Linked DNA regions of Canis lupus familiaris. The protein of the gene in region 1 interacts with the protein of each later gene in a biochemical or structural test. Links are inferred from orthologs where the notes say so. Each region holds a gene or a part of one and is shown in the gene's direction. Other genes may lie near its edges.

Region 1 (4,424 bases):
CCCCATGCCCCCTGAGGCGTACACACTGGCCTCCCCTATCCTTCACTGTGGGACCCAGCTGGGGATTCCTGTTCCGCCTCGCTCACCTGCTCCCACCCGAGTTATCCTTCTCCTTCCCCTGATCTTTTGCACAGTCCCTGCCCTCTACGGGAACGCTCTTGGTCCAGGCCCCGCAGGACGCTGAGCTGGGTCTGGCTTTGGAGTCGCCCCTTGTGCTGCCTCAAGGGACCCCCTTCTTGGCCTGGGTCCTCCAACTGTCGGGACTAAAGGGAGCCCCAGAACAACCCCCATCGGGGGCCTTCATAGTGCTCCATGGCCAGGGGCCCCCGCAGAGGTCCACGGGGCTCCTATGTACCCCTTCAGCCTGTGCCGTTTGCTCTTATTGCTGGAATTTGTTTTGCTTCCAATTAGAATTTGGTTTGAACAAAGGGGTGAAGAGCTTTTTTTAAATGGACAATTTGTCTAACCCCGATTCTTGCAGAGGAGAGCTGGCCTGGAGCGGGTCAGGATAAAGATGAGCATAGAAGGCAGGATTTGGTGGGGCCTCTCACCGTTCTACCCAGGGGTGTCGGTCACACTGCCGGGCCTGGGCACGGCACCCCGGGCACCAGGACATGGCCCAGCGTGTGCACGGCACCTCCTGGAGTTGTGCCAGGTGGCACTTACCTGTGCTCCATCTTGGCTCTGCACCATCCACCTTTCAGGCGGTCTCCTCCCTGGGGACTTCCGTGACCACCCTCAGCCCCAGGACACACTCTGAACGGGGCATGGTGTTTAGGGCACCACGATCTCAGTTTTCAGACAGATTTCTGTGGATTCCATTCTGTTCCGTGGGGGTTGGCAAACATTTCTGGAAAGGGGTTGATAGTAGATATTTTAGGTTTTGCAGGCCACGCAATGTTCTGTTGCATATTCTTTATTTTACAACCCTTTCAGCTTTTTTAAAAAGAGGCGGGAGGCAGGAGGGTTGGGTGGGGGTGGGGGACGGCAGATTTGGCCTGGGGGCCGTGGTTTGCATACCCCCCCCTCCCCCCCCCGCCTACATACCTGTCCAACAGAGCTCCTTTTGGTTCTTATATCCATTGCTTCTTTGCTTTTGTAAGATTGCTCTTTCTTGTGAGCGAATGAGTGAATGAATGAAAACAAAGAACCAATGGACAAGTGCTTATCCCATCCTCACCTGTTGGAATCCATTCCCCGGGAATCCTTCTTCCTGGGCCCAGCTGGGGCTGGGGAAGGCCTTCCACCTTTCCCACCTTGATGATTGCTTTGTGCCTCCAGGTGCTGCCCCCCCCCCCGACCGCCACCATGCCTGAAGTGTAAGTAGCGCCGCCCCCGCCCCGTCGGCCAAGCCCTTTGCCGCAGATTTTGGCCCCAGAGGGGAGGCACCTTCAGCTCAGCCCCCAGGAAGCCAGGTTCTAGAACAGGAACAGTCCTGAGACACCACGTGTCCTAGACTTTGAGCAGAACCCACGTCTAGGTTGCCTGGGGAAGACCTCTGGGTGTCTCTGGGCGGCTCAGGTGGCTTGCCTGTGTGCTGGGCCTCGATGTGACTTTGGCCCAGCAGATGAACATGGCTTTGGGAGTTTGCCCACGAGGCCAGGGTTGGAAGCTTTCACATGCTGGAACCCCGAGGTGAGGCTTCCCTGAGCGCCCCCCTCCCCCAGCTGACGGGCCGCAGCTCCCCGCAAGACCTCCAGTAGTCTCGAGGCCCCCTGGACTTTCATTCTGTCCTGCTGGCACTCTTGAGCTGGTCCCCTTGCCCGATGCCTCATTTCCTTCTGCTGTGTGCCTGGCACCACTCCGCCCCTGTCCGAGCTCGTCTACGTGGTTCTGCTGTTGCAAATGTGATACGAATTGCTCACGCTCTGTCTTTTGCTCTCTCCTGTCCTTCCTGTGATGGATCCCTAAAGCGAGGTAAGTGAGATCTGGGGTATGTCTTTCCTGGTTAGGTCTTCAGACTGGTGAAGGTGGGGTGAGGCGGGTGGGGGGGGTGTCCAGGGGCCGAGCATATTCGCCAGAGAATACAAATGTCGAGTGAAGATTCCGGGCAGGGGCTTCCGTGGGCACGGCCTCACCACAAGGTCATCCGGGGTTAGGGCTACAGCACGGCCGGTGTGACTCTGCATCCTTGCTGAGCGCTGGGCACGTTCCTCCTCATTTGCTCCGATCACTTGTCCAGCCTTGAGGGACCATCTGGGGTTTTTCTTGCAGAGCCAATCCTGTGCCAAGCCAGAGCAACAAGGGATTGTTGAAAGAAGGGGGTTCTTCTACCCGCTGCCCAGTGACCAAACGTTGAGAGAGGAGCAAAGAGGTGTCCTCACACTCCCCTCAGGTCTCAGATAATTCTGACCCTTCGACAACCCAGATTTATTCGGGTTACTGAGAGCAGAGCCTCTGCACCCCCCGGGCTGAGGAGCTGCAGGGACAGGGCTGTGGACTCTGAACTGGCAAGGGTGGGAATTAGCAGCCGTGGTGGACGGGGACCGGCACAGGGATTCCCAGTTACAATAGAACGCCCCACTTTTCCATAGTCCTGTGAATTTCTCAGTAGGAAAATGAGTGGCCACTGATGGGTAGTCACACGAGGTGGCCTCTGAGCTCACCGAGCAGTGAGGAAACGACATTGCCACGGGTGGGCGACGGGGCGTCCCCAGTGACAGGCAGTGATTCTGGAGGCAGGCCGTTTCTCCAGCAAGCACGCTGGGCTGATGTAGCCCGGACCTCACTTTGGGAGGCGGAAGGACGAAGCAACCACCCTGAAGAGTCGGATTGGGAATCCCACATTCCGTGCCTACAACATGAAGCCCATTCATTCCCCCCTTTCCTCCCTTAAAGGCCATTGGCTTCTGCTTTCACACTAGAGTAGCCACCGGGGTGAGGCCCCTGCACGCCACGTCCCCAAGGTGGCTGCTCGCTGGCCGCCACCAAAGTGCCAGCCTTGGGTCCCAAAGAGCGACGGGTGCTCAGAAGGCCTCCCAGTCTCGCGGGTGAGGGGGTGAGCACCCTCCCTATCCTCTCCCCTGAGGGGACATGGCTGCGCCTGTCTAGTTGGCTGGAATATGTCGGGGATTTTTATTTTATTTATTTATTTATGTATTTATTTATGTATTTATGTATTTATGTATTTATGTATTTATTTATTTATTTATTTATTTATTTTGCCGGGGATTTTTTAGTAGGAAGAGAAAACAATGTTTTTTTCCCCTTTTTTAATTAAAAAAAATTTTTTTATGAGAGTTCAATTTGCCAACACATCGCATAACACCCCGTGCTCCTTCCGCCAAGTGCCCCTTCAGTGCCCGTCACCCAGTCACCCCGAACCCTGCCCACCTCCCCTTCCACCACCCCTTATTTGTTTCCCAGAGTTAGGAGCCTCTCATGTTTTGTCAGCCTCACTGATATTTTCACTCATTTTCGAGAGAAAACAATGTTTTTTGTTTTTTTTTGAAAACAATGTTTTTAAACCTGAGAAAGAGTAATATGGATGGTGTCGATGTTAAAAAAAAAAAGAAAGAAAGTTGCGAAGCCTAAAAGGATAAACTTCTTCGTGTATGAAATTCAGGGCTTCTGTGCAAGGCGGGTCACCCAGGTGCTGGCTGCGACTGCCAGGCGCTAACCGTGCCTCCCAAAGCGTTTTCGCGTCCGTGATGTCACATGATGTCATTCTGTGTGTAGGAACTCCGGGAACTGAGGACGGTGGGTGGCAACATCATCCTTGTTTATGGACGAGGAAGGGAGGCGCCCATAGAAGTCATGTGACCCACACTGGACCCCCCCCCCCCCCCCCAGCACTAGAACCAGGATTGAAAAGTGAGGGCCTCAGCCTCTAGGTCAAGGTCAAGGTCGCCGACTCCAGCAGCATCCCCCGAAGTTGAGGGGGTAAATCACAAAGACGAGGGGCCCTTGAGGGGACCCTGTGGCGAGGGTTCTGGGTAGTGATGGTGAACTGGGCGGGCATGCGTGCTGGCCTCCACCAGATTTCCAGGTGTGCAGCCTCTCCCTCACCACCTGTCTCTCCCCTTCTCACCCACAGAGAAAGCCCAAGATCACGGCCTCCCGGAAACTCCTGCTGAAGGTGAGGCCTTGTGCTGGCTCTGAGGGGACATCCAGGGGGAGACTTAGGGGGGGTGCGGAGCAGTCTGTGGGGGTGCGGAGGCTTGGGGGAAGGTGAAGAGGAAGGAGGCCACAGCAGGAGAAGGAGGGGGAAAGGGGAGGGGGAGGCAGAGGGAGGCTGGCCTCACCTGGAGCCAGGTGGTCAGTAAGCGGGAGCCTGAAGCTGGAGCCCCGGCTCCTGCCCAGGTACTCGGGTGGAGGCAGCAACCAGCTTCAGGGGCCAATCCACTGGTGAAAGCCAGAGGGCCTTGCTTTATTTTGGCGAGAGTTTCTCTCTTTGGGGCTCCGTGGGCCCAAACAGGCCAGGA
Region 2 (4,434 bases), on another chromosome or scaffold:
CAGCGTCCCGCCGCCCCCTGGGCCCCGCCGCCCCCCGCCCCCGCCCCCGCCCCCGCCGCGCGCGCCGCCGCCATCTTGGCGCCCCGCCCCGCCCCGCCCCGCCCCGCCCCCCGCGCGTAATTGACAGCAGCCGCCAGCAGCGCGCGTGCGCAGACGGCAGAGGCCCGAGCGCCGGCGCGGCGCGGTACCTTGGCTGCGGCCCGCGCGCCCCCAGGAGGACCGAGGCGCCGGGCGGGGACGGCTCTGCGCCCGGGAAGCGAGGACGGAACGCCCCGCACCGCCCGGGCCACCCGAGGGAAGCCACTGCTCCGCCTGCTCTCAGTTTCCCCTTCCAGAACAAGAGTCAGCCGTCGCCCCTCGCCTGGCTCTCAGGCTCATCCTCTGCAGGGCACGCACGGGATTGAAGTTAGGAGCTGTGCGCAGAGCCCGAGCTGGACACAGTAACTTGGCGCCAGCTCTTAACCTCTCCAAGACTTGGAGACCTCCTGTAGCGAATGGGATTAATCCACGCAGTGCCCGGCACTCGAGGCAGGGAGCTGGTGTGGTTATGGAGACGGGGCTCCGCAGGGGGGTGGGAGGGAGGGATGGGCGCTGGCCGTTGGGGCTAACAGGCTGGCCCTGGCCCTAGAAACTATAGTACTGGAATGGGGAAGCACAGACACAGAGATGGAGCCCTAACCCAGGGGAAGACCCCCACCTGGAAGAGGGGGATGGTAACCCAGCTGAAGGGGAAAAGTCTAGCACGGATGGGGCATCTGTACATGTGTGCACTGAATGACCAAATGCAGCTTACCCACACCCAGAGCTAGTGCTGTTCTCCCTGGGGAGATGAGAGGTCTTGGCTATGGATGCTCTGACACCCCTGGGCCCAAGGGCTCCAGAGCACTCTGTGCTAACGTGGGTGAATGACTTCCTTCTCCGGTGGTTACACAACGCCATACTCTGAACTTGGCATTCGAAGCTTCTCTTGAAAGGGCCTCTCTTTGCTGCATACTGCTGGCCAGCACCCTCCCTCCGCAACAGGCTTAGCTTAAGACGGGGGCTGCCAAGTCAGACGTATTCCGAACAAATCACCAGCCCTCCAGGAGCTTAAGTTTCCTCATCTGAAAAATGGGAATATTACCCATCTTCCTGATTGGATAAGAATTGAACTTCTGTGTGTAGGGGCCTGGCCTGGGGCCCACTATTTTTCAGCACCTGTCCTGTTCTTGGCTTATGTTTTCTTTCATTCAAGAAGACTTTCCAGAGAGTCCCCTAGGAACCATGGGGGACAGAAGGAAAAAGATGTGGTCCTTTTGCAGCCCTTCATCTGCTCCCTGCACTGGGCAGAGGACACAGGGATTCAGGCCAGCCTGAGATCACCAGGGCTGGGGGAGGGGGTGGAGGATACTGCAGGCTGGGGTGGGCTGGGCCGGCGGGGAATGAGGTGGGGCAGGGCTATTTAAGCCCAGGGCTGGCTGGCAACCCCAGCAGCCTGCCCTGTGAGCCGCCAGCATGGATGACATCTACAAGGCTGCGGTGAGGGACTGGGCTGGGCAGGGCTGGGGTGGATGGGCCCACTGGGGCCTCACTCAACTCACGATGGGGGGTGAGGTCACTCTACAAAGGTAGTGGGGACCTGGGAGAGGGCCCATGCAACTTTCAGCCCAGGCCCTCAAGGGGATGGATGGTGGATCTGGCATTCTAATTCCAGGGTGTAGAAGGAGTGAGGGGTTTAGGGTGAGGGGTTCAAGGTCTGGAGAGGAGCTTTTTGGAGGGTGGAGGAGGTCATAACTTTTAGCATCACGTCTGCCCCTGTCTCCAAGTGTCTGTAGTCTGTGTCACTATCTTCCAGCCACATCTCCCTTCACTTGTGTCTGTGGTTTTTGGATCTTTGCCTTTATCAGTCTCTTTCTATCTCTTTGTTCCTCCTCGTTGTCCCTCTGAGTCTCTGCTTCTGTTTCCCTGTCCCCACCTCATCCCCCTCTCCGTTTCTGCCCCTCACATTCTGCTCCTCACCCCACCCCCTACCTCCAGCTCCTTGGATGGCTGAAGATGCTGTGGAGGGTGGGACAGTTTGAGAAGGGGGCTGGTGATCCAGAATCCTGAGCTGGAAAAGGGGCTTAGAGGTTTGAGGTAGGCAGGGAAGCGCTAAGCATGGGGGAGACACAGGGAAAAAGGAATCAAGAACCAGGGCCCCCACCCCAATCAGGCCTGGAGGGCTCAGGGGTCAGTGGTTTAGCCAGGGGTGAGGGCTGGAGAGTGGTCACCCTGAGTCCCTGCAGCGTCCTAGGGTCACTGAGGGGCCTCAGATACTAGTCCCTCCCAGGAGTAGGTGGTGTTGCTGACCTCCCCCTGTCCCAGAGGCAAGGATGTTCGGCATAGACAACTGTCCCCAAGGGAACCCCTCCCTCAGCCCTGAGAGTGGAGTGCAGCCTCACTTCCGGGCAGGGGAGAGCTAGAGCTGGCTCTAGGGCTGTCCCTGCCTGTCCTACAGGAGTCCACAGAGCTGGCGGGGGAGGGAGCTGCCCTCCACCCTGTGCCCATACAAGGCCTGGTGGGGCTGGGGACTAATTTTGGCTCCTGAGGCACCAGCAGGCCAGGGGGCCAGATAATGCTGCCCCACCCCCTGCATGCCAGAGTCCCCAGAACAATCACCAGGTTTAACTTTGTCCCCCGTTAAAAATAGCCCAGTGGCCGTCCAGGTCAGGTTACAGTGGGTGGCTTTGCCTATCCCCACACTGGTTTTATTGTCCCAACCTGAGGGACAGCTGTCCCTCAGGCCACCCAGCTTGGATTTCACCAAGGGAGCCGAAAGGGCATTGAGTGGTCACTGACTATTGTTACTCGGGGTCACCTTGGCCCTGGAAGGGGCGCCCACCTGTCACCCTGGCCCTAAGCCCAGCCTCAGTGAGGCCAGCTGGGTCACCTCAGGACTTCGGGGGACAGGGAGTGAGGACTGAGGACTGTGACCTGGGAATGGCCTGCCTCTTCCTGGCTTCACTTTCCCCATCTGTGGAATGGGTTGATTTCCTTAATAGCAGCCAAGTCCTGAATCAGTCCTGAGACCTCTTTTTCTCTCCAGGTAGAACAGCTGACAGAAGAGCAGAAAAATGGTGAGTGCTCCAACATATGTGGGGGTACGACAGGGCCAGGCTGGGGGAGCATGAGGACCCCCGAGGCCGGGGTCCCTCTCACCGCAACCTCAGAGGTCTTGGAGGGAAAAGGCAGTTGGCAGATGGCCCCAGAGGTCTGGCCTTCTGGGATCCTGGCTTCTGAGCCCTGACCACTCTATCTTCCCCTCCTTCCCTTTGGACACAGAATTCAAGGCAGCCTTTGACATCTTCGTGCTGGGCGCCGAAGATGGCTGCATCAGCACCAAGGAGCTGGGCAAGGTGATGAGGATGCTGGGCCAGAACCCCACACCCGAGGAGCTGCAGGAGATGATTGACGAGGTGGATGAGGACGGTGAGCCCCCTGCCCCCCAGACCCTAGACCCACATCAGCCTCCAGTGCTTGGGCCCCAAATCCTGGCTCTGCCACTTATTACTCTGTGCCCTCGAAGGAACTTTTAACCTCTCTGAGCCTCAATCGTGTCATCTTCTGAAATGGATATAATGACCACACTCGTCTCACGGAGTTGCTATGAGAATGCATGCAGCAGGGCACCTGGGTGGCTAAGCAGTTGAGTGGCTGCCTTTGGCTCAGGGCATGGTCTTGCAGTCCCGGGATCGAGTCCTTCATCAGGCTCCCCTGCAGGGAGCCTGCTTCTCCCTCTGCCTGTGTCTCTGCCTCTCTCTCTCTCTGTCTCTCTTGAATAAATAAATAAAATATTTTTAAAAAGAGAGAGAATGCACGCAGCAAGAGCACAGGGGTTTAGTGTCAAGAGCATTCTAACCATCCCTCACTGATGGCTGGGCTGCTCACCTTGCAGGCAGTGGCACAGTGGACTTTGATGAGTTCCTGGTCATGATGGTTCGGTGCATGAAGGATGACAGCAAAGGAAAGTCTGAGGAGGAGCTGTCCGACCTTTTCCGCATGTTTGACAAGTGAGTGCATGACCCAGGATCTCTGACCTGACTCTTGCAGAGGTGGGGAAAGGGGGACAGTCTTGTGACCTCAAGGCCTCAGTTTCCCACTCTGTGCAATGGGAAAATGGGATGTCCCACCCCATTTTCAGTGCTGGCCCTGCCTTGCCTCCTGGTATCATGGGTGGGGCTTCTTCCCTTCCTCTGGCCCACACCATGAGCTCTGAGGTCCCCTTCACATCCCCGCCCCCGGCACAGAAATGCTGATGGCTACATAGACCTGGATGAGCTGAAGGTGATGCTTCAGGCTACCGGTGAGACCATCACGGAAGATGACATTGAGGAGCTAATGAAGGATGGTGACAAGAACAATGATGGCCGCATTGACTATGACGGTGAGGGGGGGCAGTGCCCTTGATCCCTCCTT

Evidence for each region.
Region 2: the proteins of TNNI1 (region 1) and TNNC1 are reported together in a solved structure, tested with the Homo sapiens proteins (2 studies listed by BioGRID, with this or other methods). The link is inferred for Canis lupus familiaris from reciprocal best matches to the Homo sapiens genes TNNI1 and TNNC1.

Annotation. Positions count from the first base shown.
Region 1 is NC_049228.1:1,600,458-1,604,881, forward strand, and holds the start of TNNI1 (troponin I, slow skeletal muscle), read left to right. Parts: upstream 1-1,397; 5' UTR 1,398-1,567; coding exon 1,568-1,635; intron 1,636-1,913; coding exon 1,914-1,917; intron 1,918-4,036; coding exon 4,037-4,078; intron 4,079-4,424. UniProt on the Homo sapiens protein: Troponin I is the inhibitory subunit of troponin, the thin filament regulatory complex which confers calcium-sensitivity to striated muscle actomyosin ATPase activity.
Region 2 is NC_049241.1:37,719,815-37,724,248, forward strand, and holds the start of TNNC1 (troponin C, slow skeletal and cardiac muscles), read left to right. Parts: upstream 1-1,387; 5' UTR 1,388-1,494; coding exon 1,495-1,518; intron 1,519-3,064; coding exon 3,065-3,095; intron 3,096-3,300; coding exon 3,301-3,447; intron 3,448-3,913; coding exon 3,914-4,028; intron 4,029-4,265; coding exon 4,266-4,402; intron 4,403-4,434. UniProt on the Homo sapiens protein: Troponin is the central regulatory protein of striated muscle contraction. Tn consists of three components: Tn-I which is the inhibitor of actomyosin ATPase, Tn-T which contains the binding site for tropomyosin and Tn-C.